Linked DNA regions of Neodiprion lecontei. Each later gene encodes a partner of the first gene's protein in a complex. Links are inferred from orthologs where the notes say so. Each region holds a gene or a part of one and is shown in the gene's direction. Other genes may lie near its edges.

Evidence for each region.
Region 2: mitochondrial import inner membrane translocase subunit TIM50-C (region 1) and mitochondrial import inner membrane translocase subunit Tim23 share a complex: the UniProt entries of both Homo sapiens proteins name them as parts of the TIM23 complex. The link is inferred for Neodiprion lecontei from reciprocal best matches to the Homo sapiens genes TIMM50 and TIMM23.

What each region holds. Positions count from the first base shown.
Region 1 is NC_060265.1:20,608,013-20,624,664, forward strand, and holds mitochondrial import inner membrane translocase subunit TIM50-C, read left to right. Parts: upstream 1-8,604; 5' UTR 8,605-8,737; coding exon 8,738-8,879; intron 8,880-9,407; coding exon 9,408-9,760; intron 9,761-9,839; coding exon 9,840-9,959; intron 9,960-10,184; coding exon 10,185-10,292; intron 10,293-10,371; coding exon 10,372-10,503; intron 10,504-10,694; coding exon 10,695-10,818; intron 10,819-10,951; coding exon 10,952-11,055; intron 11,056-11,170; coding exon 11,171-11,263; 3' UTR 11,264-11,755; downstream 11,756-16,652. Other genes in the region: uncharacterized protein LOC107223414, read left to right, coding at 4,074-4,241, 4,460-4,684, 5,100-5,274, 5,382-6,541, 6,663-7,219, 7,299-7,602; uncharacterized protein LOC107223411, read right to left, coding at 11,774-12,216, 12,305-12,478, 12,569-12,834, 13,016-13,239, 13,325-13,460, 13,601-13,799, 14,007-14,129, 14,208-14,298 and 3 more; mitochondrial mRNA pseudouridine synthase RPUSD3, read left to right, coding at 15,993-16,254, 16,369-16,558. UniProt on the Homo sapiens protein: Essential component of the TIM23 complex, a complex that mediates the translocation of transit peptide-containing proteins across the mitochondrial inner membrane. Has some phosphatase activity in vitro; however such activity may not be relevant in vivo.
Region 2 is NC_060260.1:5,832,903-5,849,554, reverse strand, and holds mitochondrial import inner membrane translocase subunit Tim23, read left to right. Parts: upstream 1-6,773; 5' UTR 6,774-7,068; coding exon 7,069-7,162; intron 7,163-7,257; coding exon 7,258-7,507; intron 7,508-7,726; coding exon 7,727-7,896; intron 7,897-8,048; coding exon of another isoform or gene 8,049-8,098; exon of another isoform or gene 8,099-8,108; coding exon 8,109-8,226; coding exon of another isoform or gene 8,227-8,230; exon of another isoform or gene 8,231-8,234; intron 8,235-9,618; coding exon 9,619-9,628; 3' UTR 9,629-9,801; downstream 9,802-16,652. Other genes in the region: lipase maturation factor 2, read left to right, coding at 583-676, 1,157-1,340, 1,460-1,561, 2,123-2,316, 2,513-2,691, 2,916-3,165, 3,274-3,479, 3,599-3,839 and 2 more; uncharacterized protein LOC107225069, read left to right, coding at 11,433-11,794, 11,900-12,104, 12,259-12,492; BMP-2-inducible protein kinase, read right to left, coding at 16,365-16,652. UniProt on the Homo sapiens protein: Essential component of the TIM23 complex, a complex that mediates the translocation of transit peptide-containing proteins across the mitochondrial inner membrane.

The sequences.
Region 1 (16,652 bases):
CGCAACTCGCAATTAGAGCGTGAACCTTTTACGTCTCACACCTCGATATTGGAGACTGAACCTTTCAAACAGGTATTATACCTTGCTGACTTCTATTCGGAATAAAATTGCGATCATCTCATAGGTGGCAAGAATCTCTAGTTGAAAACTGCACCTGCCCCACGCTTTCGTCTCTAAGCAGGCCGTGCACCCGTAGAGTCGTTCCAGACGTTACGACGTTCTGGGCGACCCCTAAGTTTCACCGTGTACTTGTGCATGGTGACGCCAGTAGGCATATCCCAGGCCTATATCTCATCTTTATACGTACCTGCTCCGACGCCCGGCCAGGGTACCGGATTCAAGCAGTATTTATGGAGGTGAGACGAAGCTGGTGCACTGCGGTGTCTCGACACCCTGGTGGCGGCGGGTTGTACGTTTGGACTTTCACTGAATGTCCTAGTCGCGGGAACGTGACGTCTGGGGAGAGTCTGTGTTGGGGCAGAAGTGGCCGAAACTGGTTACTTGCCGGACCCAGATAAACTGTAGTAATATTTCTCATAAGAATAATTTTAAAAACAGTAGTGTTAAATTTAGTTGTTTATTCGTGGATTAGGCCTACTGGGGATACCACGGTAAAAAAAGCGCGCCGAATACTCTACCGCTTGCAGTGGCGTGGAAACGAGTATAATAATGATGCAAGTCCTTCCGAATTTATATCTTTCACGTCCGGCAGGATCCCGGACTGTCACTTTCATCTCTTGCCGTCACCTCATACTTCTCGTCTCGTTCCTCTATCTGTCACGTCTTTTCGTACTTACACATGGCTGAAAAGTATCTACTCACTACCATGTGCGACGCCCCACTACTCTCAGACCTCCTCTGAACATTCCCCCATCTGATATGTCTACATAAGGTCGGCCATCGATAGTCATTCCGGAAGTTTGTTGCTCCTATCGATTAAAATTTTTCTCGGTAATTTTTTTCCATTGAAGCTGAAATCTCAAGCTCTCATCTCAATCCAATTTCATGTATCAATCCCTGTGGATTTACTAGTTCGAAGAGAAAACAATTAACATAGTCCAAATTCGACTCATATCCTAATCAAGCTTTATTTGACATCAAAAAACTGTTTCGAAATCAAAGTAGTGTTAAACTTTCCTACACGGGTGGCCCAAATCATTCTTTCGATGCTCCATAACCATCAATGAACCATTTCTCATGTTATAAATGTAGAATATTGATTATACATTTTTCCTTCAATATATTTGCAAATTACTGATTACTTCGTCGGAAAAGTGAAACAATCGTTAATTACTGCTTGCATGATTTTTAGTTCTCGAAACCCTACAATTAAGCGATTAGAAATGGATGAATTTGGCCATCGGTATGGAAAAATACTTGCAAATCTTGTTTTTATCAAATTTGTTATTTTTTACCTGAAACGAGTTTTGATTATTAAATAAATATATTTCGACGATGTTAAATTTTTATCCTTTGGGTAGGACCAGAACGCTTCGTTAGTATCTTCCAGAATCAGTTTTATACTCTCGATATATATGATAAGCTACAAGTTTTGAACATTGTAATGCATTCAGTTGTAATAAATTTGAAGTTGATACAATCATCCTATGACCGAGAGATCTTCCAAATACCGTACACAGGTTTCTTTTTGTATATCATAGTGCAAAATTCGCTATTGTTCCATATTATATCGTGCCAGAAAAAAAATTCTTTAATTGTACCGTCCATTTCGATGGTGTCGAGAACTGAGATCCACCCAACACTAGACATGAAGTTATTATCATTACTATAGTTTGCCTTACTAAAGTCAAATCTGGTCAAGTTGGTTAACAAGTTGCTGTAACAGTTACCATGAAGCGCCTCCCGCACGCATTGCGTATGACTGCATTATAAAACCGCACTATTGATGTGAATTTTTGATCCTTTGATGTATAAGAAAAAAGTTATTATTATTATCATTTTGTGTTTCAATTCAATGAAAATAATATTGTGTGATGAATTCCTGATTTCGTGATTCACCTCTTCGTACTCATTCCAGTACATACGTTCGGTTATAATTTTCATGTCTATACATACGTAGCTTTTATCTACACACCGGTTGTACAAGAATACTTCAATAGCTCAGCTACGAGGCGTCTAGACTCTAAGCGGGGAATCACCAAGGAAAATTGTATTTAGACGCTAGCTCTATCCGACGGTGAAAACAGGTACTCAATGCCACTATCCGTTTTTTAAAAGAACGGTTCTTTTTTCCAGTGATGAAACTCCACGCACAAACAGCATGCCAAAAGCCACCATCAGCAGCCATGTTACAAAAACTGGCAGCAGAGATGTGTAGGCTCTCTGCTGATAGCACGGAAAATTCCCTAGGAGTGAGATACAGCGGATACAGAATGGAGACTAGGCTGATGGTATAGGTATGATAGACTAGATATGATAGATATAGATATATACCGTTAAGATAACCTGCTCATCGAAGTTTTTGACAGTTCATAACTCGTGTAAAGTGTGTAAACGGTGGATCATCTCCACAAGATCTCAAACTGTCTCAAAATTGTGAGCCCTCGCTTGATGTTTATGGATTTTATTGACTTAAACATTTGAGGATTCCGTTAAAATAAAACAATTATCACGCCCGCCATGGAATGCTAGTAAACATCTCAATCATTTTTATTCGCATCTTTCTTCATTTTTGAGTGTTATTCAGGATTGTTGATTCCGAAAAATCAGCTGTTCGGATCTGATTTATGATTGGCTCACCCCGAGTGGGCAGCACTGCAGACGGCGAAGACGAGAACCACGGTTTTGCCTCATCTGAGTCATTCCCCACCCTACTAGTTTCCGGACCTGTATGTAAGACCGTCAATTCTTACCAACTTCACCTCAGAATATTACGATGACGGCGTTGCTCTTAATGAAATCTAAAACTACTAAAGAACAAATTTTCGAGGACAAATTTTTTGTAAGCTCCTCCATTAGAGATGGGTCTCCTTTTTACTATTAAGCGGGAATCCATTATCGAATCGGTACTACAAGTATGGCGCTGGTATACGTATGATACACGATGAATGACTTTTCATTCGATTCACTCCGAGAGTGAACTGCCTCTCGAATGAAAGTAGGTACATATCTGTATTAATTCGTATAAACATGCCTGACAAAGGAAGGATGAAAGTACGCGCATCGAGCGGCCTTGACACGTCAAATGTTGTCCGCTAGCAATCAGCTGGCCGTGCCATTTGTTGCCAAACAAATGGAATTCACCAATCCCGGGTAGTGAAAATAAAGAAAACAAAGGGGGGAAACGCTAAAACAAAATAATACAACGATGAAAAGTTGCACATCGCCACGCCATTCGCAGCAACGAAGTAATGTTAAACTTTCGCTGAAATTGACAAGTAAATTAATACCAAGAACAAGAACGAGAAACCTTACGAAAAAACTACTAGTAAGCTTTGAACGATTTGACGTATTCATTTATGCGACCAAAGTGTCGTCTAGCTTGCAGTAATTATTTACAATTTACAATAGGTGACTGCAATGTTTCAGTGTCATTGAACGCGAAACGGGAGGGAATTACGTGTATCAGAAGTCTTATTCATAAAATTTTACTTCTGAATAACGCCTTATGCGTATTTTGCATCCATGCAGTCGTTATATATCTGCGGTGCTATTTACGTTCAGCTTCTTTGTTCATTACTTCAACTACATCCAGTCATACTGCCACACAATTTCACAGTTTTATTCACTTTCATGTCAGATAAACTTCTCAATTGTAGAAACGATTGTACACTTTTGCCTCGATCAGTTTGAACTGTTGATATAATCAATGCGACCTTACTGCAGTGTAATTTATTGAGAATTAGCTTATTATTCACATATTAAATTAAGTATTTAAACGATAATAATCATTGTAATAGTTATTATTTGACAATTCTAATGCCACGTTAAAGAATTAAATATTGGTTGCGCTGTTTTAAAACTTCTTTAATATTAATAATCCAATTACAGATGGCATAAAGAAGCGACTCTACGCTACATCGGCACAGACTTCATAAAGAGAACAATTCATCATGGCTGACAATGAACAGACTTATTACGATTTTGGGAACTCTGAAAGTATCGAAAATTTTTTCAACGACGGTTGGACAATAATTGGTGGAAATTGTTCAAAGAAAGATGATTCCGACGAAGGCAGTAATAACGACATGTCTGTCAGCGACGCTCAGGATACTTTTGGGGTAAGACTCATTGTATAGATCAAGACTTTGTAATTCTGAACTGTCAATAATCACAGCTACGATAATGTCAGTACTTATTAGGGTGATATATTGCTCTCAGGAGAGATTTGCAAGTTGTCGTAGCTTTTACTTCGTTTTATAAAGTACTCGATTCGGAATATTTAAATTGCAGTAATGAAATTTCAATTGACTTCAAGTAATAAACTATTCTCACACAGAGTATAGAAGTGCTTTCGTCACCTGATACCGATGCTGTGGATAATGAAACGAGAAGCGATGATGACAAACCAGTTGAAGATTCTGATGGTATATCGGTAATAACTGATTGCGATTGTGATCAGTTAATTGCAACAAAGAAATTTGGAGAAATCAATGGTTGCCGAAACCATTTGTGCAGTACGATTAACAAATTTGAAAAGACTGGAGAAAAATCAAGTCCGCAGGTATTTTCTATGTTGAAAATTAATTAAACAGTAAAACAGAGAATTTTATATTATTTCGTCAGAGAATATCTTTGTTTTCACAGCAATGTCTGCAGTAAATATTATGATGTAGTTCAATATAATCTATCGCCGAAACAATTTTAATATTGGAATTTAGTTCAGGAAAAAGTGCTGATATCCCATTCTAAAACTGGATTAATCTTTCCCTAAATACTCGTAGAAATTTATGCAACCAATTACCAAGCTGCTAATAGCTTGTTTACAATTTTATCACCACTGATCCATAAATTTGCAAAACCTCTATTATTGCCATATTAAGAACAATACATACTTTTACATCAATATATTTCACATAACACAGATCCTCACATTCACATGCCTATGTAACAAAATATTTCAAAACTGGTTTTTTTAGGTTGGAACGATTTTGAACTTTGTAATTGCCTGTTCATTGGCAGCTATCATTGGACTTGGTGCAGGCCGCATCCTTAGAATGGATGACGAGTGTCCTATTACGAGTGCCATTGATTTTCATACTATAAAGGCAGAAAGTGACATGTTGATTAATCGAATAAAAGAATTAAACGAAGGTAAGCTAGAGCAGATAGAATATAACTGTACTCATGCATGGGTGACAAACTACAAGAGTTTTTTTAAGTGACTGACAGCATTATTTGTAATTTTTTTTTTTTTACAGTTAAAAACGTTCTCGTCGAAATAAAAGCCAGTATTCCGCAAGTGAAACGAGCACAAGAAAAACTACCCATCCGGGGATCTAAATCAAGAACAAAACGTTTCCAACAACGTGAGAAACATTTTAAAATTTCAGACACTTACATCTTCGATCCAGATACTACGATCTTGGAACAATTACAAATATCACTGAACACATTGTGCTCTGTTATTGATGATATCAACCCAGAGAATGACTTTATAAGTTTAGACGCATCCAAGACACAAAGCATTGTTACTGATTTGATTGAATTTAAAAATATTGTACACACTGTTGTGAAAGAACTTGGTAATACAGAAAGGCCAAAGCAGATGGAGTTTTTGAGAAATGCTGAAACGAGGATAAGAGATGTTTGCGAATCGCTGCTCACCGATTTAACTTATACCATACATGGATTGACTATGAAAATTCATCATAAATTAAACAAAGTTAGGCACAAGTTGAACAAGAGATTGTGCTTGTTGAAAACGTCTGGATCGTTGGATGAAAAGGTGTCTCAATCCTTAGAAGAAAATAATTCTTTTCTAAAGAGCTGCGACAGAGTATTAAACGTTACCTTAAAGCCAAATGCACGTTCTATAGAAACAAAAGAAAAACGAATATCGAATCGAAAAATTTACCCGAAGACTACAGGTAAAGCAATAGCAAGCTTATCCGAAAACTCGTCTTCTGGAACTGAAAATGATTTTTCAAAAGATTACTCTAGCGACAGTTCAATGCCAGATTTGACTTACAATTACAATAAAAATATTGATTTTTGGAAAAAAAAACCAAATGTTCGCCTAGAAGGAAAAGACACTAAACAAGAGTCCGGGAGAATTCTGTTAGAGAATGGCATAAAACGGGGTAAGAAGAGAACCAAGATTATGAAATCAAGCAGAGATTCGCAAAGCTGTAAAAATTCTGTGATGGAAATACTAGTGCCAGCAGAAACTTGTCCTATGAGTCAAAACCTTTGGGTTGAATTAGAATCTATTTGCGATAAAATGGTCAAGCCTGAAGTACCAAATGCAAAAGAAAAACCGTTGTATTCGACCATTTTAAAATCAACAAGCAATGCTGTGCCATCTGAGCAGGGAAAATTGGATGAGGAAAAACCACATAGTGTCAAGTTCCCAAGCGAGGTAAGAAATTGATGGTTTGCGAGCATTTTATTTGTAATTTACACCTTGGGAAATCGTGTGAATTGATTCGTTAAGTAATTTGCTCTCCTTCTGAATGTTGTTTTCAATTTTGTATACAAAGGTGAGCGCCGAAGAAAAGGATAACTTGCGCGAGACAAAGCACGATGTCACCCCAAGTGAAAGTGATATTAATGTATTACAGAATGTCAAGATCATGAAAGAGCAGTGGAATGCTAACATTCGCCAGTCGGTTGTACAACATGATGTGGCTCCAGGATTCCAAGAATCTCCATTATGCGAAGAAATTTCAGAAGAGGTATACAAAGAAAAGCTGTTACAAAGCAATGAAAAAATTCCTTCATCGAACGGGTCTCTCAAACTCTGTCGAAAGGGTGAAAAATGTTCCAATGATTCTACTACATCAACTCAATCAAAGAAAAAAGTGGTATCTAATGACGAAAACAAAGATAATAACAAAAAACGCAAGAAGAAGCGCGGTAAAAAGTGGATAAAAACACAGAACAATTATGATACTGAAGATTTAAAAAAAGTTATGTATAACGAAAAAACTTTGCCGCCTCCGAAGATGAGGCCTACGAAAATTCAAAAAGATTCAAAAAAGCAAAACACCAATCAAAAGAGTAGTGGTCAGTTATCAGGCGATTGGCAACTACAAAGGTAACATGATTTACAAGAACTTACTCTAAATCGACCAGTATTTTGTATTCCTATAAATGTGTAAACTCGAAATTTACAGATCTCATGCTCGGGAGATGCATCGCGATGGTAATCATCGCTCTGAATGGTTCTTCGAACGTGCTTCTTCGCGTCAAGATGCTCGAGAAAAGGTTTTTGCGAAAGTTGGTTCTAAATGTTATGGACCAGACAAATGTCGATCGAATTCCAAAGAACGAATAGATGATGAAGAGTCTTACGATTACTGGGTCCAACCAAAGGAGACAAGAGATCGAAAGCATTGGGGTGGCCGTGCCGGTTTCACGGCAAAAAAGATGGTCAAGATGCTTCATCGAAAAAATATAATGCAAACGAAACACCATTGAGTTACGAAGTCTAAGAAAAAACTAAATGCATATAATACCTATTCTTTAATTCTTGTTCAAAAATTTGTACTTTAAAATCTATACTATATTTTATTCTACTAAGCGTTCAAACATATGGCTGTTATTATACAATAAGTAAGGAAACAAATACTTAGAGAAAAACCGTCTATACAGAGAAAAGAAAAAATTCCAGAAGCTCTCTTGGTGGTTAATATTTTCTCAGTTGAATTGTGCGATAAAATTAGTAATGATGCATTTATAAATTGTTTAAAAAATTTTGACTGTTTTTCGGTAGACCCTTCATTTTGAAATTCCTGAATGAATCATTATTATTTTAACGAAAAAGTTGATTTGTATTTCTGCAATTGTCCATTCAAAATTTAGGCATATTGGATACACTAGTCGGAGTAACTAATATTCGTTAATATCGAATCTTTTTTTAAAGAAGTGCTCAACTAAATGATCGCTAATTCAATAATATGGAAATGCCAATATACCTTATAAAATGCTCAGCATTACCTTTTGGCATCTACACAGAGATATGATGATGGTATTATCTATATTTATACAATATAACTTGAAATAAAAATTTATTATTGAATAATCATCTTGCACGAAAGAATATTCATATGGTATCGAGAAGTTATTATGGAAATACACCTATTCTGGTCATTCATTCCACCAAACCGTTAAGTGGAAGCAATTTTTCAACGTGAATGATCTTTCAAATTCAGGAGAAATCACTAAATCAGCTTGAATGAAATTTGGTTGGAAAATCTAATGTTCAGTAAAGAAGGGCTACATAATTTTGCGAACTTCTACGAACTCCGAAAATTGTAGCCACTGAGCCTTCGGAAAGTCGATTATTCCTGTAATTTCTGACAAAACTTTCGGAAGCTTCATTACTTCCCAATTGGAAAACACTCATCTTTTTTCCAACAGAAAAACAAAATTATGTTCATCCTGGTGATTTCGAAATTTGCAAATACATCGGTTTTCCACGTGTGTTTCGATATTTCGGCAGTTTGGGAATCTACCGATAAGTTAGTAGACTGTGCTTACCCGAAAAATCCCGGCATTTCTTCACAAAATATTTCAACCATCCAACTGATCAAAGTGTGGTACGTGATAAGCGATGGCATTCGCGGCTCGAGGATTACGAGTTTTCTGTAAAATATACAATAGCAACAGGTGCGGAACGTATTCAACGCTCCGTCAACCGATTAGAAAATTATCCGTTGTTCAGTCAGCACAAAAATTTTATTACAGCACCGATCGTGAGTACATTGCGCTAACGACATAACCTCAACCTTGCGAGACTTTGATAAACGAATTTAATACCGTAGAAAAAACCGTTGAAAACTCTATTTACTGTTCTCGTATCGGCGAATCTGCATTACTACAACTCTGCATTAAAGCTAATTTTAATATCACAATTATTTTCCGTATACTCTGTCAAAAATAAGCTCTGCAAATTAGCACGTGAGGAATTAAGCCTTTGGATACGTTTTCGTCATTCAAAAAAATGTAATTCAAATACAATGAGTGTTTTTTACAGCTGAGTGTCATCTTATTCTGAACCGCTTGGGAGGGAGGCTAACTTTAATCGTACAATACAATCAGTAAACAAACGTTAAATGTTTTCCTTGCAAAACAAAATATGTGAACTTTTTTTTTTTCAAAGTTTATCAAGAAATATCACAGCATTGAATTAATTTCTTAAAGTTATTTAAAGATAAGGTAAAAGCTTGCTTGTATTCAAAGTGTGTTACATTAGTGGGTTTATTTTATTCATGTTTCATTAGCAAACCGTCCTGGGATAGCTGGGAGTCTTACAAACATACAATCGACAGTTGATCAAAATTTAAAACCCGTGAGTGCAACAGGTGGTCAAAATGAAGAGTCGAGTCAAGATGCGGATCAGAAAAAACAAGAAGCCGAAGATAAAAAGCAGCGAGAACATTCGTGGAAAATGATGAAGTATAGCTTTGCATTCTTTGGAGTATCGATGGGTGTGATGGGCTCTTTCTTAATTTATGAATTAGCTAGACCCAATGTTGACGAACAAGGAAACATTATCGAAGATGAATTCAGTAATTTACCTTACTTCGAACAGTTGTACAAGAGACTACGTAGGGAACTAAACTACTACAAAAAAGTATGATATCAAGGCTTTTTTTTGTTAAATTCAATACCCCTGTTCTAATCAATCAACAACATCAAATCTGTTCATACAGCTTGTTCAAGAACCAAGTAGAGAGAAGTTACTACCAGATCCATTGAAATATCCTTATATGCAACCTCCATATACCTTGATTCTTGAATTGACAGATGTATTGGTTCACCCTGATTGGACGGTAAGCATTTACTGCGTTATTCACTATGACAATGTTAATAAAGTTCTGAATTACATTCTGTGACTACTATGTAGACCATGCAAAAGTCGAATCATGAAATACAATGTAGTTCCATTTAATTTGTCGTTGAATATACTCCAATTCAATAATTACAACCACTACTCATCATGAGATGATAATTCATACAACTTTCACTCTAACAAACTGGTCATTATTTTCTAACAGTACCAAACTGGTTGGAGATTTAAGAAACGTCCAGGAGTCGATCAGTTTTTGGAGGCTGTTGCACCACCTCAATTTGAAATTGTGATTTACACAGCCGAACAAGGAATGGTGAGTATTTTATACAGCATACTGTGCGTTTACTTTCTGAAATATTTCTTTACGTATGCAAAATTTCAATAAATTTCAGACTGTTTTCCCCATCTTGGATGCTTTAGACCCGCAAGGATATATTATGTACAGACTGGTGAGAGATGCAACGCGTTTTGTGGATGGGCACCACGTCAAGGATTTGGCTGCACTTAACAGGGATCTCAGTAAAGTGAGTTCAATACAATGTGTAAAGCATTGGAAAAAAAAAACACTTGGCAGGGATAAGAATTTGTTCCAAACTAGAATAATAATAGTAAATAAATAGTTGCTATAAAGAGGCATATTCCAAGTACCTGTTATGTTTCTTCATCTTGTATCGTTTAATTATTAACTATGATTTACATGCTTTGATTTTCTTAGGTAATCGTAGTCGATTGGAATAGCGAAAGTGTGAAACTCAATCCTGAAAATATACTGAAGCTTCCAAGGTGGAAAGGGAACGATGATGATACGACTTTGTATGACTTAGCTGCATTCCTCAAAAGTATGTTTAAATTAGAAATTTATTAAATGAATGCTAGATCACTTAACGATATTTCGAGATAGCTTACACGAAAATGAGTTACCTGCAAATCAGAAAGTTGAAATGCTGTAACGCAAAATTCACCTTTTTACAGTGATATCAGCAACAAATGTAGAAGATGTGAGGGATGTTCTTAATTACTACAAACAATTTGACAATCCATTAGAAGCTTTCAGAGAGAACCAACGAAAACTTTTGGTAAGTAGTCACTATTTATATAAAAATAATCAAATTGATTTTTATGATTATTTAAAAACATAGTCTACAGCAATAAATTTACGATAGATTGAACGAACGATTTACTTTTCTTTAGCTACAAATGGAGGAGGATGAACACAAGTCATTGAAGGACGACAACAAAGTGCTGATGTCGAAATGGAAACCATCATTTTTACGGAATCGTTAACGATTGAACGTAAAAGGTGGAAAAGTGCAATATTTTTTGCATTTACTGTCAGAACGAGTACGCATAAATCACATTTCATTATCGCCCGTGACTTTCTGGATCAGAAAACCAGTTTGAAAATGCTATAATGAATGAAAACTCACAGTTACTTATTGATATCCAATCATAAGTTGAATAATTTATTTAACCTGTTGTATTACTTAATACAACATATTTTGTAAATAAGAATATACAGTAATTGTAAACCATTTCAAAAATTTATTTTTTGACTTAACCTATGCTGTAACATTTACCAAAATTAATGCAGGCCTTCGAAGTTACCAGTTTCCTATTAATTATTTCTCACTGTTTTATCTCCATGCAAATTATGATATATGGATCACTGAAACTAACAGTTCTAAAAATATTAATAACAATGTTAACATTTCATCGCCATGGACTATCACTTGTGCTTCGATTTTAAGAATAAAAAAAGAAATTCCGATTCTCCGACTCGAACATAGGTACTCATTAAAAACCAGCAATGTAGTTTTTCTTTGTAGCCAATTTTTTCCGAGATTTTTTTGATTTGGGTACATCATAACAGGATTGCTCATTCTGAGTGTTATCAAGAGTATACTGGGGTGGTACATTTTGAGATACGCTAATCAATTCTTGAGAAAGAATTTCGTTTGATTCGTTTATTATCGATGTGTCTTCTTGGGACTGTGTTAGATTTTGTGACTGTGTCGTACTTTGAGAGGGAGTTTTCTTTTCCAACCAACTCAACACTTTTTGGTGCGGAGTTACAGTCAAGGGGGCAGAATCCTGTCGTATGTCCCACATTGCTAAAAGTTCTGGGGCGAAAATGTCAACGTAAGAATTTAATTCCTCCACTGACTGAAACCACTTCGGTTCATGACATCGTACTTTTGGTTCCTTCTGTTCCAAGCGACGATTTTTATTCCTCATTTCTGGTGAAAGATATCATTAGAAATTGAAGTAACTGATTCAATCTTGCTTGCAATAATAAATTTCGATTTAATCATTTTTCCAACTCACCATTGAATATATGTTCCATACTTGCTTTTTCTGAGATTACTAAGGGCTTCACAGTTTTACTCTGTGCTAAACATGCTTCTTCCCAAGCCTCTAATGCCAGTAGAGAATTTGTATTCACGTCTGAATCATTTCCTGAAATCTTCTCGTGCGTTATGCACTGGTAAAATATATCACCTATATCATTTGAGCCATATAAAATTATTAAATTTCTTTTGTTGAATTCACAAAAGTTACTAGTATGCGGTTACACGAAACTTATTGTACCTATTGAATTCTGAGTGAACAGAGTCACATCATTTCTATCGTTTAGATTCAACACAGTACCAGCATTGCAAAGTTCTAATCTGTTTCTCAGGTTCGGTTCTAGACATTTTCCTATGTCTTGGCATGCTTTCAAAGTTTCTGACGTACTTGGCGGCATGTATGGCAAAGCATATGAATGCATTTTTGTGTCGCTTGTCCAATTGTTAATAATTATTGAATTTTCCCCAGCCAACTGGCTAGATAAAGTGATAATCTCTTCACCATTTCTGTCAATAGATGATATCATTACGTATTCATATTAGTTATTTAAAAATAATGTTAACCACCGGAAGTTGGATGTCAAAATAGTTTTCCAATTTATAATAGCTTAAGTGTGGTGGGTAAAGCATATTTGTAGAGTAATAGTTTTATATTTTAGTATGTGATCTTGTAACCAAATATACGTACCTTTCTATAATCGAAGAAAAAACTGGAGGACTTTTAAACTGGTGAGTCCATTTCTGTACAACACTTGAATTTCCAAATCGACTGTCGCACAACAACAAGCTGTGATATGTTCCCAAGTATTGATGAAACGAATTCTGTTTGCTTGCAGAATTCACAGAAATCATCTCACATATTTCCAAGTTATGCTTCGGACACAAAGTCAAAGTAGGCCCATCCAACGGAATCTGTCGAAACCATGAAGTTTACGTAATATTTGAGAACAGCGAATAAAATATGATGAAGGACAGCAAGGTCATTTGTAAATCTTACCCGTAAATCAATATAATATAGACAACACCTGTCAACAAATGTTATCAAATTTGGATCTGATTTATTGAATTTTATACTCATCCAATTATCTGGCAATGTTCCATGTTTCGGCATTGTTGTGCAGCTCAAACACTTCCTGTTGAATACATAAAGGAAAATTATTATCATTGATGATTGGTAAATTAAACTAAAAAGCTGTTGCTCAATCATCATTTCATAAGCTGAGGAGACAATTGTTCAGAACCAGCTTTGTTTATGAGAAACAAAAGAAATTACGTTTTACTCAAATCTTTGAATTCCACAGATCGGGAACTATTCACTACACAATATTTATTAGACTCAATCAGATTTAAGTCCGCACTAATGTATGGCAACTCTGATAGCTCCTGGTGAATTTCATTCAGTTCCAATTTTTCCTGATCATCCCTCAGGGAATAGAAGTTACAAGAGTACTTTTGCCTGCCGAGAATCCTACCTGAAATACAATTTTTACCAAGAAAAAGTTACTCATTAGACAGAATCTTTATTATAAATTCTGTTATGAATTTTTCCTTTAAAACGTGTTTGGCTTGGCAATTGATACTCTACAGATCAAAATTGTTGTGTACATTACATTAACTTGAACTTCCATGCGAAAAATAGCTTTTTAGTTGAAATATTAGATTATCAACGTATCACTCACAACAACGCCCTGCAGTAACGACATGCTTTACTTCATACAAGGTACTCCTGAGGTCACATTTTCCTGCTATTCTTAAATTTGGCTTCCACGATGAATTTGGTTTCTCAATTAATGGTGCAGCAACTGCAATGGCAATTTTTACTCAATCCTTGGACCTTTACAATGGTACAATTATCGATCAAATATTAATTACTTCCATACCTAATTCATTGGCATATGGAAAGAGCAATATATTTCTATCAAAGACACACAAGTTGTCTAAAGATCCACCTGTATAATACCAGTTATATTCCTACAACAGTTAATATATGTTCTCAACAACAAGTAAATCCAGCTTCAACCAAAAACTCATTTCAACTGTACTAAACAAATTTATTAGTGTAAAAATTGTAAAATCTAATGAAAGAAATTTTCTGTTTCTTTAGACAATTTTTTACCCCTTCAAATTCAGGATCTGGATCACACTCCATTATTTCAGCCAACTTAGCAACATATCTTGGCACCGATGATTCTACTGTATCTTTTCCTATTTTTGTCCACTTTAGATTTGTCTTGTGGCAAACTTTCAGATCTGAAAAAAATCGAGATTAAATGAATGTTTTTAAATTTTGGTAAAATTAATTTGCACTGTTTTTCTCAGTATTAAAATCTAATAACATACCTTTTCTATGTGAATATAGAAAGTGTTCTTCCTCTTCGAGCACAATTGTAAGAGTGTCTGTAAGTGTGTTTACATTTTGGTAACTTACTATCCACTTTCTATATTCACATATACTATCACAGCACAAGAAAACAAATTTGAACTTACTGGTAATGAGAGGAATTAACGACATCAGAGTCAGGGCGGCTAGGTGGTCTAGTGGAGTAAGGCTCCGGTAAAGCATCGCTAGATACCACGTTCGATTCCTGGCTCCGTCGTTAATTTTTCGAATTTACCAGTAGTTCAAAAATTATATACGTTTCACATACCTTTTCTATGTGTTTCATGATACTTGATTATTTGATTGACATTGTCCTTGATTTCAGATTTAATTTTAAGAAGCTGCAACGCTGGATCACTGTTTCTAAGAACTAGGAAAATTGTTCTAAAGTTAAGAAGACGACAACTTTCAGGGAATTTTTGGGTAAAGGTTACAAACTAAACTGCAGAAGAACTCACCACACTGAGGCAGTCTTGCCGGGGGTAATAGAGGCTTTGGTAAATTTGCATCGTAGGGAAACTCTTGAAACATATTCATAAGATGATCCTCGTCATAATTCTCAACGTCAGGATTTTTACTTAAATTATAACCAGGAACTATGTGATGTGGATGACCATTGAGAAAGCTGTTTTTCAATTTGCCTTGCAGGTTATTTATTGCACGGCTCAATAAAGTTGGTGCCTTACCGTTTTGTTGAAACATTATAACAATTCAAACATACCATAAGCTAGTGTAAATACAATCCTTCAACAATTTTGCTAGAATAAATTTACAAAGAATACGTTAAAACTGGAGTGTGGTGTGAGTGTTTAAAATCAGAAACTAAAGGTGAAAATACTGGAAAACTAACCTGCTTTTCTTTATAATTTTAGATATTCGTGGATGGTTTTAAAGTTGTTGAAGACATTTTTATCACGTTAATGCGGTAAATTCGGTAAAGAACATCGCCTGTTCGTATATTTCATATTCTGTACCAACGCCTGTACGAATGAATAAAGACGCGGGACGCACGTGGGATCATAGCGTGGTCTTACATACAGCTTTGACTGAGATCCTCAGTCAACGTGCTTCAGGAATTTGCGATGTTTTTGGAATAGTTTATAACGTCGGAAATTTCATCGAAAAACAAACACGGACACGACCGGCTGACACACACGTGTTTCGCCGAATCCGTGTTGTTGAGTAGGTGCATTTCAATTTTTGGAGTAATTTTTGTTAAAGGTAATATTGGATAAAGATGCGAGAGTTTTAGTACTGTTGATAGATACCATACCCGAAGTTTACGATGAAGGGTACTTTGCAACAATTCGTTCAGCGTACGTTATTGAAAATTTACGAAGTGAATCGCACGAATAGGTTATCATTTGTGACTGCTCATAACCTAGATAAACAATCAAAAAATCGAAAGACAGGTTCCCGAGAAACGAATGACCAAGAAAAGGTCGAACGAGACAGGAAACCCTTACATCCGTATAAAAAAATTCACCCTTGGAAATCAATCGAAAACTTTTCCCAAGACTTGATTGACAATGTTATTTACAACAAAGGTAACGTTTTCCGTGTTTGTTATAATAAAAAAAAAAAATTTCACTTATATAGTCTCGCGAGATACTGTAAGTATGTGAATTCCACATTATTTTTATTATTCTATTTGGTGCTAGATGGTGTGGTTGTTCTTAACAAACCGTACGGCATTTCCAACTTTTCGCGAGAAATAACGAGTGAAAGGACAAAATGGAAGCCTATGGCTGGCATATCCAATTCTGTCAACTATACGTTGTTAGATGTTCTTCCGAAAATATCTCAAGACCTTGGATATCCATCGCTCAGTATTGTCAAATCTCCTGAAAGGTAGTTGCAGAGAATAATTTATTAACTTCCCTAAGATAACTCACCGATCTAGTATCACAGTTTATACTTGTTGAAAAAATCCATGTGTAATTGA
Region 2 (16,652 bases), on another chromosome or scaffold:
ACTTCCGAATCTTACTGGTGAGTGGTGAATGAATTTTTCAAATAGTTTCCCAGATTTTTAAAGCAGAACGATTGGTTGAGGATACGCAGGCCCTAACGAAAGAACAAATCAAAAGAAAAGACGTGGCTGTATAAAAGGAGAAAAACAGGACGGACGATCTAAAGCTGCGTTCACACTTCGTTCGTATTTCAGGCTTATATATATATTGCTTACTTAGAAAAAATTCTGTCACCGATGCGAGACAGTCTGTTAAATTCTGCAATTAAAGGGCCTCGCGTCGCAGCCGCGATTGAAAATCGAATCCGCATTTTACGCTTGAAATTTGAATAACAAGCGGAGCACGTAGATGAAATTTTCTCGCCGACATATCTGCCGTCTTTTGATTGGATCCCTGAGTGACGCCAGCCGGGATCGCTGGCGTTTTCTTTCCCTCCCCAGTTCCAGTAACAAATTGTAACAGCAGATTGTGGACTCGTGGCTGCTCTTCCTAATCAAAATTTACTGTCTCCTTTTCACCGATAATTATTCAATAAATGCCAATTTTTTGACACGTACGGGTTCGATAAAAAAAGAAGGAAAACAATGGGAGAGGTTCGGTATACCCGCAATTTATTCCTGCGAGGTATATGCATCATTTACTTATTCGCATTTCTCAGCTTCTACATCCAAATCCCAGGTAAGAACGGCTTATTTTTATCCCATTAATAGCACCGGTTGATCCTAGACCTCGTTCAAGACAATCTTACAATTATTCGCTTGTTAACTATTCATGCCCATTCTAATAGACCTCCCCATATTTTCAGTAGGCGGCATTAGCCGCAATTGTCTTTTACCGTAATTAGGCCGGGTGTGAACTAAGTTTTTATCTTACCGAAACGACGGATTCCAGTTGCAGGAAAAATAACGCCTTCGTTTTATCTGTTCGTTTTAAGTGACCGAAAAAAAAAACACGATCACCGTAATTTATAGGCACTTGCTGACAATTTTTTTTCATGCAATTCTGATACTAAGCAAATTCAATTGTTTATTCTCTTACTGGATTGAAAAATAACGTTTTGTGTCTCTGAATTTGAAATACCTGTAATTATAATGACTGCGAAGGAGCTGATAGTTTTAATTGTTTAAACATTAAAACAAAACTTATTTTCCTCAATAGGGTTATATGGCAATAACGGAGTCTTACCAGCCAAGGCGCAACTCGACTTGAGGGGTGGTAACACTTTGTCGCAAAGAATAAAACAGAAGCCAACTTTGCTTTGGCTCGCACCATACATAAGCCTAAATACGGAGTATATGCTCGATGTATTGGCGATACTTGGGATTGTTCTCTCATTTACTGGGTAAAATAAGACTTTGTTGATTTCTATTGGTCAAAGTGGCAATTCAAGTCTTCTAAAGCTCCGCAAAAGCTTAAGATCCGTCTCTGCTACTTTATGAAGGTTGTATTTTTGTTTTTCAGATTTATATCGCAAAGGTTTTGCACTGCTCCAGTTTTTGCTGGATTATGGTCTCTCTACTACTCCCTTTATCAAGTTGGACAAACTTTCATGTTGTTTCAGTGGTGAGATTTTTTTCAAACATTTTAACACGAGCTGAACATCCCAATCAAGCTTTATTCACTTTATAATGCTTTCTAAATAAAATCCAAGGCTAGTCGGTCAGGTATACTTTCAAATATGTATTGAAATAAAACCCAAGAAATATTGCATAAGCTTGATGGGAGGCCTGAACAGGACAGTCTACATGAAATTGTAACTCGAGAATCGTATTGACACTCAACACTTGACCAGAGTATCGAATGATGTGTTTGTCAAGGTTACTGCTCACCAATGAGTGCAACTATTTTTACAAATAAAATCTGTATGCTTCCGATATCATGTCTATTTTTAACGAGATGAATTGGACTTGCCAATCTATCAAAAGATATCATCGCTTTCTTTATTTCTCATCTAATTCGTCACTTTCTTTCCTATATCATCAGTTTTGAATATTTTTTAGCTAAAAGAGTTACTTTCTATAGTAGAAACTGAAATGACAGAACAATCATATTTATTCAATTTTTAAGATTTGTCATCTGATAATGTTAAATTTTTTTTTTCTCTGAAATAACTTTTATTTACAGGGATGTTCTTCTTCTCGAAGCTGGATTCTTGTGCACTATTGTTGCACCCTTCTGGTACCCCCGCCGAGGAAAATCCAGCACTCCATCTACGGCATTGACATTTTGGGCAGTTCGTTGGCTACTCTTTCGATTGATGTTTTCCAGCGGTGTTGTAAAGCTAACTTCTGGCTGTCCGACGTGGTGGGGTTTGGAGGGTATGTGATTTTTTCACTTGAACTATCGTATACGTGATATTGAGCACAATAAATTAGACTTGCAGCTTCAGCTGCTGCTCATACTTTATTTCTCATTATTTAATATCGTAGCAAAGGGATAAGACCCTCAAGAGTGTTCTCGTGCCACAAGCGTTCGCCAAACAAATTAACCGTGACTTATTTTGTTGTTTTCCAGCCTTGAACGTGCATTTTGAGTCACAATGCATTCCTACTCCCTTGGCTTGGTATGCTCATCATCTACCGGCATGGTTTCTTCGCTTAACCACTGTAGGAGCAAACGTTTTCGAGCTCGCAATACCGTTTCTGTTCTTCTTCCCAAATAGAAAAGTTCGCATCACTTCCTTCTACTTGCAAGTAAGCATACATGCAACAAAATAATTTTTTACTTAAACGAGTTCTGTTTAGCATTTCACGTTTTTCCTGCAAATTTAAAGATTATACACAAAGTAGTCTTTTGTATGCTAGATTTCAAAGAAACGGACTTATTGCTTGCCCAGGGCGACCGTTATAAATGGATAAAGTAGTTGAAACAGAGTCACTAACATGTATAAATTGTAATAATTATATTTTAAACCCAGGTATTTCTGCAAGTGAATATTATCGCTACGGGAAATTACAATTTCTTCAATCTGTTAACGATCTGCCTCTCTATATCTTTATTGGACGACCAATTCTTCTACAAGAAGAAAGCAAAAAGCAGTCAATCCGATTTCGTTGATTACTTCTCAACAGTTGTCTGTCTTTTCGTATACGCTGCTGTGATATATGGAACATACGTGTACTACAACTTGAAAATAACCGAAGATTTTACCATTGAGTCTAAGATCGGTAAGCAATGAGATTGACAGAAAATGTACTTTTATATTTTACCACAGTCTCGAAGCTCGAATAAAATTAATCAACAACAATATTGTAAAATAAAATGTTGGATTTCAGCATTTACAAAAGAGCAGTTTGATCGTGCTCTAGCCACTGTGGTTCCGATCTCTATTTACATGGGTTTAGCATCCCTTGGATTTGTTGTAGCTGAGGCTGTCACCTATTCAATCTTATCTGTGCAAGGAATTGGTAGCAAATTACTCAGCACTTTTACCACCATTATTTACACTCTTAATATTGTGTACCTGTTTGGCATTAGTGTTGTAAGTAAAACAATTTATACTACACATTATAATTCTGCAGCTATGCCTGTGTTTGCTCTCTATCCCAAAACGATGTCAGGATTCTCTTTCAACGTTTTTTTATTGATTTTTCTTCACAGGTGCCGTACGCCACGCTCCATTCTTCACACAATTCTACAGTCCCAAGTCTACTCAAGCATATGCATTCAGACGTAGATCATCTCCATCTGGTTAATAGTTACGGATTATTCCGACGAATGACAGGAGTGGGAGGAAGACCAGAAGTTGTTATAGAAGGAAGCAACAGCATAGACGGACCTTGGCGAGAATATGAATTCTTATACAAGCCAGGAAATGTCAATAATTCTTTACCTTTTGTTGGTAAGTTGAAAAACGAATCTGCAGTGGCAGGCATGTTGAGTATTTAAAAAGTAAAATAGTACATATTCTTGCCGCTGTAACAGTTAACAGACGTAGATATCAATTCAAGTCTTTAGTTATTTGGTAACATTTTCCGTTGAGAAGTAACAAGCAAATTTGCTTTCAATGTTGAGCTCAATAATTAACCGATCATGGTCATTTTTTATAGCACCACATCAGCCTCGTCTAGATTGGCAAATGTGGTTTGCTGCACTAGGAACATACCATCAAAACCCATGGTTAATGTCATTAGCCTATAGACTTTTGTCGGGACAACCGGAAGTACTGGCACTTATTAATCAGGCTCAGAATCCGTTCAGAGACAGCCCGCCTAAATACATAAAAGCAAGCCTCTACCACTATCATTACACCCCATGGAGTCAAAGGTACGAGGACATTATCTTTACTCGCGTGTTGCTCACAGGAGGTTTCTAAGTTCCTAGTAATACCTAATTGAAAATTCTCGTATGTTAGACACAGTTCGACCTGGTGGACCAGGGAGAAGATTGGCGAATACTTCCCGATCTTCAGCAAAGATCACCCACCACTATTGGAGTATTTATCAAAAATGAAGATCATCCAAGACAAGCCTGATGAGCAGAGTGTGAACCCATCTTTGAAATTAATTCTAGACAGCCTGAGAGCTGTCGTAGGAAGAGTAGAAGCTAGTCTCCTTTTATGGAGTGTATTTACTGCGGGATGTGCAATAATTATGAGCGGTTATAATCGGGTGAAACACTAAATCATGTTGATCAATTGACCTTGTCTAATTTGAAAAGTTGTTGATACTAATACCGTATATTGCAAAAGTCCCATGTGGATTCCAGGTCTGAATAGAAGTAACGAAATTAGACACTATTGAATTGATGTTATACACGACACAATTATCATCATACAAAAGCTGAAAAGACTTCCACATTTGTTAATATCGTATAAACGGATAATTTAGCGTGGAGGCTATTTACTGTACTTGTTTACATAGCATGCATACTTTTTGCAAGAAAATGTCAACTACCAAATAACGTTATGAAAGTGGTGATTATTTAGTTAAACACCATTTGTTGAGGAGATTATATTCTTCTGTTCGACAATGTAAACTATACAATCATGCGGATGATGTACCTATTTGTTGAAGTTTGGACGGTGTAGTTATAACGTAAACGGTCTAAAATGTAGGTGAAATATTTTTAGTAATCCCAACTGGATATAAAGTGTCTGTATCGAGGCTCTCTGAAATATGATTCTTAAATTTGTACTCATTTCTACTTAATTATTCATAATTAAATTCTGGTTGAAATCAATTTTTGAAAAGTTCATTCCACTTATAATTATGTACGTGAAATTCATTTTCTGGCATTCCTGTGAATGTCATTAAAACGCATTTCATTACTTCTAAAATACCAACAAGTAAGATATCTACAGGCGATCCATATAGTTGTGCAGACTTGTCTTTGTCTACTAATTGCGTTATCTGATTTCTATATAAAATTAAGTACGTGATGATTGGACCACAGATCCATTCATAATTAAAAATGACAGAATTATAAGTCTACATGGAAGAATTCAATTAGTTATCAGTGAAATATCACCGATCCATTTGGATCTGTATTTTATGACTTTTTGAAAACTTACAGTGATTATTTATAGATTTCGTGAACTAATACTTTGTTATGATACTAGTGTTTATTTTGTATCTATTTTTTTTTTTTTTTTTAATTGTGTTTTACATTGTCTTTCCAATATTTTAGTATATGTACGTGTCCAGAAAACAATGTGAACGTTCATTCTAGCTCGTCCTATTTAATTTACTTTTTACTATTATCCCATAATCTTTTAAGTAATAGCTATTTATATGGATTTTTCTTTCAATTTAAATATTACTCACGATTATTACTAACGCGTTGTTAAAAAAAATAAAAGTACATTCAAGGAATTTTTTTGTCTTTTGTACTACGAATTTATTAATTATGCATTTTTCATTTCAAATGTGTTCTATGACTTTGCTTTATAAAACTGAAAGACTAAATAATAAAAAGATAAAATAATCCCAAGTCTTCTATACGCCTTATGTAAATTCGACGAAATAAAGAAAATACCTGAAGTACACTTCATTACTTTGTCATGTGTAATCATCAAAGATCAGTGATAATTATATTCTTATGAGTTGATTTAAAAACCGGCAACGCTTACCGAAGTCTGGGTCACCAGGTTCGATATCTCCCGATTCAATTTCTTCGCCAAATCTGTTTTCAATGTATAATACTATTCAAGCTGGAACTGAGAGTCTGCTGCTGGAGAATACATACTCTAGGTTACTGGAATTCAATGGAATTTGACACAATACGATTAAGTATTTTCGAAGCAGGGTTGCGAACACTGACACGACGGACAACAGAGAGAAACCTCTGCTGACAATGCGTACGTTCGTTATCTCACATGTTTCACGCATGTCACGTATGTACATACAAGCCTGACTTCAGGCTCTACTAGTACCAACTGTATTTCAATGTTGGTAACAATTCAACATGTTAATGGATTGTCGAGTTCGATCCACAGATTGAGCACGCAACCCGGTCATTCATTGCAAAATTCGCATCTAATGATCAGGGAGCGTAGTTGCTCTCGTTTATTCGTGGCTAGCTATAAAACAATTAAATCCACACGAAAATGATTGACTTACGTGACATCAACTCGCAAAATTCAGGTAAATTTGAAGTAATGTCGTGTTGCCATATCATGACAAACTTTGTCATTATTCCGAACTTTCAGTGAGTGCATGTGTACGTGTCTATAAAACGTTAAAAGCGAGTCAAGATTCGTCGAATCTTTGTGCTTGTTCGATCTCATATTATGTATTGTCTCACTGCTTCTTTAGAGGCGTATAAATACGCCGATGATCACTCACCAACATCTTAGTATCGTCGCATAACCTCACTTTTCCTCCAACTCTATGGGTCTGAAGTCTACTCCCCACGTGAAACAATTATGCAATAACAGACGCGATACCACTGTCATTAGACTGTCGTAGCGAAATCGAGAACATCGAAATTACGTACAATTCAGCAATGACATTGACAAATATTAGTATGTACTCTAAAGTCTCGGTATATCACCATCAGTACGCGATATTTGCACATAGCGTATAGTTGCAATTTATCGTGCTGACATCATTCTCACCATAGAAATTGTCATGACATCAATCATCAATGATTTTCATGCTAAGATCTTGGGAGATAAGGAAAAGGCTACACCTTCCGCTACAGAGAATACATTGTCTTCTCAGGGTATTTGGTTTGGTTACCTTGTTAAATTCCTTACATTGCTTACAGTTTGGGAATGTATTTAATTAATACCAAACTTGTTGCTGTCAATATTTCAGTCACCTCACAACCAGGATTGGCACCTCTTAGTCCATATTTGAACTTTGACCCAAGCTACCTGCCTGCCAGCCAGCCGGAATTTATATTCCCTGAAGGAGCTGTGAAACAACGAGGTCGACTTGAATTAGCCTTTAGTCAAATTGGAGCTGCGTGCATAATTGGCGCTGGCCTAGGTGGCACTTCTGGTTTTTATAAAGGAATTAAAGCCACAACCTTAGCTGGACAAACTGGCAACCTTAGGAGAACACAGTGAGTTATTACGTAATAGGATACTTTACAATAAATGGTGTAATATCATAATATCATCTACACTCATTAATCATTCGGCATATCTAGTTTCAATGCGTATTGAGGATTGTACATTTTGAAAATGCAGCAAGATTAGGACAACGCCATAGTTTTGTTGAAAGAATTATTTGAAACTGCATATTATACGTACATCTGAATCGCAATCATTTCCTTTTCTAGGTTGATAAATCATGTAATGAAGCATGGCTCGTCACTGGCAAACACATTAGGAGTCATATCGGTAATGTACAGTGGCTTTGGAGTCATACTTTCTTGGGCTAGAGGAACAGATGACTCGATAAATACTCTTGGAGCTGCGACTGCCACTGGAATGCTATTCAAATCTACATGTGCGTCTTTATTTGCAATTCCCAGCGGACTTGGTTTACTACTGTTAAAACAATTTACCAACATATTGTGCAATTGTTGTGCTCTACAAATTATTTCCATTTGAGTTTGCTTAAATATTTATTGACGATATTTTAAATTATTCATTTATTAGCGATCAATATAGAGGCTTTGTATCATACCGCAATGAAGGTGGTATTATAAATATTTTCAGCTGGATTAAGGAAGTGTGCGTCGGGAGGAGGAATTGGATTTGCAATAGCCGCAGCATACTGTCTATGGAATAACCGGGAAACACTTTCACAAATCAGTCATCAACGCATCAATCCGGCGTAAGAGTGTGTGTCTCAAATTCACCTTTAGTCAACCTTGTTTGCTACGAACGATCCTTCTCTTAAATTTTATTGTTATTTCGAGGGCACTTGACTAATAGCTTAATACAGAGAAAAATGTATAATTCTGACGTGCAAAAAATCAGAATTTTCCAAGTATTATACATACAAACTGTTTTGAAGAATAGGAATTGAATTTTTTAATTTTCATCCGTTTTGAAAGATTTTCACGTCATAGTCGCTGTACAATATCAGCTGTCGTAATGAAAATGAGTTGAGTTTTTGTTTGGCTAATAAATTTGAGCAGGAACAGTCGTAGCATGTCCCAAAGTCATTTGGAGCCAATTTTAAAAACGAAATCTCAATTCTCATTAGCTCTTTTAACTGATAGTAGTGAAAATATATTAGTTATTTAAATACATGTGATTTTATTACATATTCGTATACCCACTACCACATGTATTCATTTTACAGTTTACCTGAATCATTAATACTAAACATAGTTTAATTTACAAAACATTTTAATTACTACAGTTCAGATATTGAAGCTTATCCATCTTAACGCTTCTGACGGTAATAGGGTTTCTTTCAAAAATCCACCTTGGGAAACGAATAATAATCAGTCTGATGAATCTATCGAAATGAGTACGTTGTTGATTACAGGGTCCTTACCTAAATGATGATAAAATAATTCACAGTAAAACTCTTCGACTTCTATTTGAATTACTGCGATGTGAACGTGATGTGTACATGAGAATGATAATTGTTCCACAATGCGGTAGATGTTTATTTATAATCTCTGGTAGCACACGCGGCTTGAACTAATTTATAAATACTGTTATTGAATTTCATCGATACTTGGCACAGTAGCTTGCATATTATATTTCATTACTTGCCACGAAAAACGTTCCTCTTCGTAATAAAATGAATCCAATTGAAATGTAGTATGCTGTTATGGGCGTTCACTTCTGGTTTGATATTTAAAGAAGTAATGTGTCAGTACCGCTGAATTCGATTGAAAAGTATCGATTTTATTTTGTTCGGAATACTCCTTGCTTTCTGTTTACTTGACTCTGGTTGAAGAGTTTTTACAGTTTAAAAACTTTCCTAGCTAATTTTAACTAGGTCACTTGAATTAAATGTATTTAAGTTGAACATAAAAATAAAATACACGATTTTCACATTAGAGATTGGCTTCTACTCTGTATCCTTCATGGGCTTCATCCATATTTTTCATACTTAATGTAACATAAAAGATGGTGCTACAACTAACAATTGACATATCTGAAATTACGTTCAATTCTAATTATTTACACACTTGGTTGACTTCGAATCTAATTTTCTTTTCATCAATCTTCACAAGTTTAACATAGATTCTTATTTTTCTTATAGACGGAAATGATCAATTGGCTACCTGCCCATATAGAGACTAGCATCGATTTCTCCCTGCCCTGTACATAGAAATTTTTTTTTCCATGCATTGTAAGACAACAATGTTTTGTTGTCCATTCAAATAAGCTATACCATAATAAAACAAAATAAAGAAACTTGTAAATAAAATGTAATTTGCGTTTATATTCAAACTAAATATATTTTCTTCTAATATTGGATCAAGCCACGGACTATGTGGATCAAGCCATGTGAGCGACATAATGTAACATAACTGTGAAATCGATTACTATTAACATAAGAAGATCTGATTTTACATTCCTCTTCCATATTTCAATTTCTTTCACTATCCTTCGAAAGTTCATACATTCAACCAAGTTAAACAAATATTGGCCTGTCAATATTCGACATATGTGATTTGCATACTAGGTATATACTATGAATGAACGTGCGACTTAGATTATCCCTCAAATTCGATATCCGTTTGTGTATTTTACTTGTATTGTGTTCCCTTGGATCTTTGGTAGAAAAATAATAAAATCTCACAGTCGCTGATTCATCGAGCATGGCGCTTAATCTTATCTAAGTTTATCTGATCATGCAGGTTGACCTGATATCATGTACCTATGGTATAAAATGCGCATAAAACGTTTTCACGTCGTTTAACATATTTAAATATTCCAAGAATTGTGTAGCGTAGAAAGCGGAATTAACAATCTGTGCCAGAATTTAAATCTTATTCATGAGAAATCAAAACTCTTGTGTTGCTTCGGTGCTCGATTATCAATCAAGCAATAAATGTCAGTGTGTTCCTTGCCAAATAAATTTATCATAACTTGTAGTATGAATATAAAGTGTTGTTTGCGCCCCAAGGTAAACAGTTAATAAATATTAAATAAGAATTCATTCTATTCCATGTACACTCATATGTATATCACAGTTGACACATAATGGAATATTTTCAGCTATCTTCGACGCACTATCCAGCACTATCTCAGTCAGTGGAGTAGTATAGTTTGATCAGCTTTGAACCACATACTCGTTGTTCTGAATGGTTTGAAATTTTCTCGCACTGTGTCACCAAATTTATTACGCAGTCACTCGATCAATTCAAGCAAAGTTTCAGTGTGAAAATCGCAATACTGTCGCAATAATCTCAATTTGAAAATGTACATGAGATGTGTCACTGGTACAATCGATAAACTGCATCCTTCGGTAAATTTAATGCACCACTTTCCAGAAGCAGAAATAATATTGAGTGAAATGTTTTATTTAGACTAAATATTAGGTGAGAATAAGATATCTGCAAATTAAAGACTGAGGCTGAGGACCATATTTGTTGAATAATTCGAAAATATTGAAATTCTAAAACACTAAAAAGTTTTCTGTATCATGCTGTAAAATTAATCCAAGGTGGTGAATAGTTATTTTGTATTCCATTTCTGACATGCTGTGTATTTGTGTAGCAAAATTAATTGGTAGTTATCGTGTTCTGCATTTAGCATCAGACACCGGTATATACTCTGTTTAATATAAACTGTACCCACAGTTTCTTGGCAACGCTTACAATTAGTACGGTTCTCTCCGTTCCGGAGAACGCTCAGCTCAGTTTCCATGGAAATACACGACTTTTAAGTTTTCTGAGCAGAACAAAATATGAGGAAAAATCCAATATAAATAAATGATAAGTACAGTGTAAATAAGGTAGTGAAAACGATGAGTGTGTAATAGCATATTTACGTTCAAACTGTAGGCGATATATGCGCAATGCGCGTCTGATTTTGACTGTACCGATTAAAGTTTAGAATACTTGAAACATGTCAAGTATCGAATTATATGCAAAAAGTGAACAAGCTGAAAAGCAACTTGCAGTTTTGTATTCGGTCTCTGCAATCTTGTCAACGACATCCACAATTTGTCTGCTCATAGTATGGCAGCACTGGGCTTGGACTCTAGATGTTTGTATTAGCGTAGATTGTGGGTGTATTTTGTATGGTGTCAACACATTCAGTACTTTTATGGGGGGCGATGTTAAGCTGTGCCATTTCACATCATATGGTCTAGTTCCGGTACTGATTGTCGGGCTGGTTCTTGCAATTTATCATGGTTACAGAACATGCATTAACAGAAACTTAGGGGATCCTAAACAGATTCAAATGACATCTTCATCCGACCATAGGTAAGTAACACGTTAACTCTGGAATAAATACCTGATAAATTAAATTTAATTGATACGTTGTTGAATGCAGCGAACTCGAAATAAACAAATAATTTCATTCCTCAGGGCAGAGCAGGGAAATGTCGTTGTGGTGGGACCCAAACGAAGAACTATTTGTAAGCGATGGTTTTTAGCTGGATTTTTAGGAGTGTTCATCTTTTTTCTCTCCCTATCACATGCTGTACTGTTAACTGACGGGTACTATAAAACCTGTAACCAATATCGAAGAAACATGGTTCAACTCTTAGGATCGAGCGGTCGTGAAGTTCAGGTATTGTGGACGTTATCGTATTCTGTAATCAATCTAAAATAATTTCAATCGTAAATCAGAACGAAAGGGAGAAGCATAATAAATTGCTGCAACTTTCACATCAGTTTTAGAAACTACAAAAGTATTATTTCTGACAAAAGCCTCAACTTTTCAGGTGATTCATAATCGCTTATCTTGTGGAGCCGTGTTTGATTACATGGATTATCTACAGCCAGATGCTAATAACTGGAGACGCGGGGATGAGATCAATACCGGACTATCCTTGCAATTAGCTATTACAACCAGTTGGTTTAACTTGTTCGCATGGATAGGTATTCTTACTATAAACCTTCTCATGGCTAGAGAGAGGCAGATTGATTTGAATGGGAAAAGTTGTTGTTGCTGGTGACTACAAATTATATTTTATTACTAAAGATCAAATATTATTTCGATAATTGATATCCATAATAATTTCAAGGAATTACTAATAACGCAAATTGTCTTAGAACTCCGATATTGATCTTAGGTATACCGTAATGCAAACAACATATTTAGACTTGACGTATACATACATCAGACACATGACACCTTAATATGAGTTAAAGTATTTTTTTAAAGATATACTATGGAAAAATTGTTTAATTCTCATATCACATGATAATAGACTTTATTTGTAGCTGTCTTCTTTTTTTTATACATATAGGTACATTTTTATTCATTTCATGTATGTACATTGTACATCATTCAATTAATCACTCAAATGATAAATGTAATAAATAATATTACATTAAAGCCGCCTTAGTAGACAAAACAGTTCAGCACATAAATGAATATTCATACCACTGAATATTCCATCAGCCAAGTATTGAAACTTTCGAATATATTATATTTGTCCTAAGAATAGTAAGAATATGGTTGAATTAATATTGTAGACCTGCACTATACTTGCATCTAGTACGTTCGATAAGAAATGTGGACAACTATACATATAATAATTTTAATAACAATATAATATAGTAAAACAACAAAACTGTATACATAAATAAATATACGGCTGCAATCTCTTGAAAAAAAATATTTCGAGAACGTCGACAACATTTGATTTAGAAAACTCATGATTTCAGTTATAAAATGAAGGCAAAGCAGGGTAATAGATTCATCGTAGCAACAATTCCTTGCACATTGTGAAGAAATTTGATTATTTAAGAACGCGACAAGTGTGGTTCTTAAATTACCATTACCGACTTGACAATAACTGTTGGCATATTAACATAACAAAGATGCTGATGTCAAATAAATGCTAACGTTATTTCTCTACTTCAACCTCAGGCACACCTCATTAATTTGTGTATATGTATACTATCTCGTACCTTTGTAATTTAAAATACAATTACAAGTTTAAACGGAATTTTTTTAAATGCTGAAACATTTGCTTTACAGACCGTGAATAAATCGAAGTTAGAGAGATACAGGTTACAGAAAAAGAAAGATTTATTTATGCATCCCTACGAAGAATAGAAAAATGACAAATTAAAAGCAATAAATATGCAGTTACTAGAAGCTATCAAGGGGTGGAATGTGATCAATGTTGTTTCAACTCACAAGTATTCAAGGAAATCTAAACATATATTACAACCCTTGCATTCAATAGTTGATAAATAGTAGCAATTTTATGAAGCATTTTTTTTTTTTTCGAAAATATCCTGCTTCCCATTCTCATATTTAATAAATCTGGTAATATGGTAATAGTAGAAATAATCGTAAATTAATAACAATAATATTAATAATAATAATATTAATAACAATGGCGTGAAAATACCTTCAATATTTGGTCCGTATGGATTTGAACTTAAGATGGTGAAGAAAAATTTTATTTATACGAAATCAGAAATCGATTTCATAAAGTACGAATCCAAATTTAGTTATCAGTAGCTAAGCCTGATCATTATTTTCGTGAGAAACGTTTGAATGAAACCCAATGATAAATCTAATTTACTCTGGGGTTTCGACTCTCAAAAATACATATTAGCTTAAAAACTAATCGGTTCTCTGTGGAAAATGACAATAGAGCCAAGCTTTGAAACTGATTTAATAAAAGGAAGGCACCTAAATATTACAGTCAAACTAGTATATCTACAAGTATTATACATAAATATATATGTGTGTGTGTGTATATATATATATATATATATATATATATATATATATACACATACACACACACATATATTTATATATATGTATTTTTACATACATCATTTAATTTGTTTATTTTTTGTTTTAAATATTGTTTATAGTATTGTCTCACTTTTATACTTAATTAAACCTTAGTGCAATGCTCAACAACTTGGTGAATAGACGTGTGATATAAGTGCAGGAAAGTATTCAACTTAGTAAATGCAACATAAGAATCCTATTTATAATTACTAGATAGGTATCAAATAACAAATACGAAATGTTTACGCTTCAGCATCATTTAAAAAAATTTCTAACAATCAAGAACTGCCAGTATCAGTCTCACGCAATGCTGTGATTGTGGTTATTTGAAAATCTACAACAGCCGAAATATATAAAACAACGATACTCAACTCATAATGGAAAAAATATAATGATCAATAAATGTTGCTTATGTTTCTAGTACGAGCAGCTTCACATCACTAAAAAAAGACTGAATCACTTCGAGGCACTAGCTGCACCTTTGGAGAACTGCACACCTACCAATACGGATTGGTATATTGCCAGATAGTTTTTTCGTTTATAAGCCTTTTTTAGTATATAATAGTTGCCAACTCGTATGTCACTGATTTTAATGTATAATCAGCGTCGAAGTTTTTCTATAAGTAACGAGAGCATATTCAATGCGTGGAGCACGATTATGACACACAAAAAATTAGCATCTGTAATACATGTGGTAAATCGATAATAAAAGTCTCTACGTCATACAAATTACATTGGTAATTGTACAAGTACAGTTCGAATATCCTTTGAATGTATAAATGTAGTGAAAATGTGTAACTGCAAAAATAGAGACATGTGCGTGTTTTTTTTTTTGTTTTTTTTGTAGTTTTTTTCCTTGTATTTTTTGGTATTAAGCTGCCAAGTACAACCTGGTTTGACTTGAAAAGAAAAACTAGTTTTACAATATTAAATGGTTTTTTCTTTTCTTCATTCTACTCATACATTATTTTTCTTCCACTTATTTATATATATTTTTTTAATGAATTTTTTTGTTTTATTGGAAAGTATAAACGTTCTAGCAACGTTGGATATATTTACCAACTACTGAGTAAGATTTATTACTAATGCTGCTTATTTTCAGATTATTTATATTAATTGATTTTTATACATATATATTTATACCTTGCTACATATTCAAGTAGTTACAACATACTTTCTTCTCTATGGTATATCTTCAGTTATCAAATAATTTCCTGAATAATATTTGAATGATTGTTGAAACTATAAATATTTGCTTCATCTAAGCATCATACAATTTTGCAGCTGGAGTATAAAGTACTGGATTGAAAATATATGATCACATAGCTTAAAAATCAGATACCTGTATGTGAATACAAATTCATACTGTATTTTTTGACAAATAACATGTGCTTTTCGAGTTATTCTCAAAGACTATTGGTCTGGATATAAACATCAGTAGTGAACAGGCTGTGCTCAGAATCAATCGATCTTCTTAATGGAGATATAATATCACATTTCATAGTGATAATAAATAAGTAACAGGTTCTTTTCGTCACATTGGATGTTCATTCAGCCATAAAAAAAATGTAGATCTATACAGAGAATATAATTCTCAAACCGTAATTTGCGTTGAGAAGATTTAATACATGAAAGCGTTTTATGGAATGTATGTTAATTTAGTTTTATTGAAGTCTTTAACGACCTTCCAGTTGAATCATTATGATAATCTTTATATACTGGAGAAGAACATAGGAAAGTCTTATAACATTATAACAAAACGCCTGAGTGTACTTTTGATTTACTCTCCTTTGTTAAGAAAGAATAATATGCGATTTTTATCCCAGATTCAAGATTGGATTAATTGAAGTCGGTGATACCCCTGAGTCGTAATTCAGAGGTAATTATGAGATAGATAATAAATAGTTCTGCCGACAGGGAAAATATCGCAAGAATAGCGTATCTCCAGGCAAGTGTATAAGAAAACAATAAATAAAAAATGTACAAAGAACAGGCTTTACTCTGCTCACCTTGGTGTACGTTTATGGACTTGTCGTTAGATACTTTCAGCACAGACTTGTGTTTTTAGGAAAATGGATTACTCCGCCTCTTCAAAGAGCCAAATCTTTTTTCCGGCTCTCTTACTACTTCAAAAGGTGCCACTCTTGTCCCTGTTCTTCTCTCTTCGTTTTCGTCACTTGGGAAATCCTCAAAGCTCATATTACTAAATCCAGCTGTACTTGTAGAATTCTTCTTCGTTTTTGGTGTCTTTTTAGAACTAGAACTTTTAGTTTTGTGTGGCGTTTTAACAGGTAAAACGTTCGCTGTTTCAGTAAGGTTTTCATGGATGAGGTGGTATTTTGATTTGTCTTT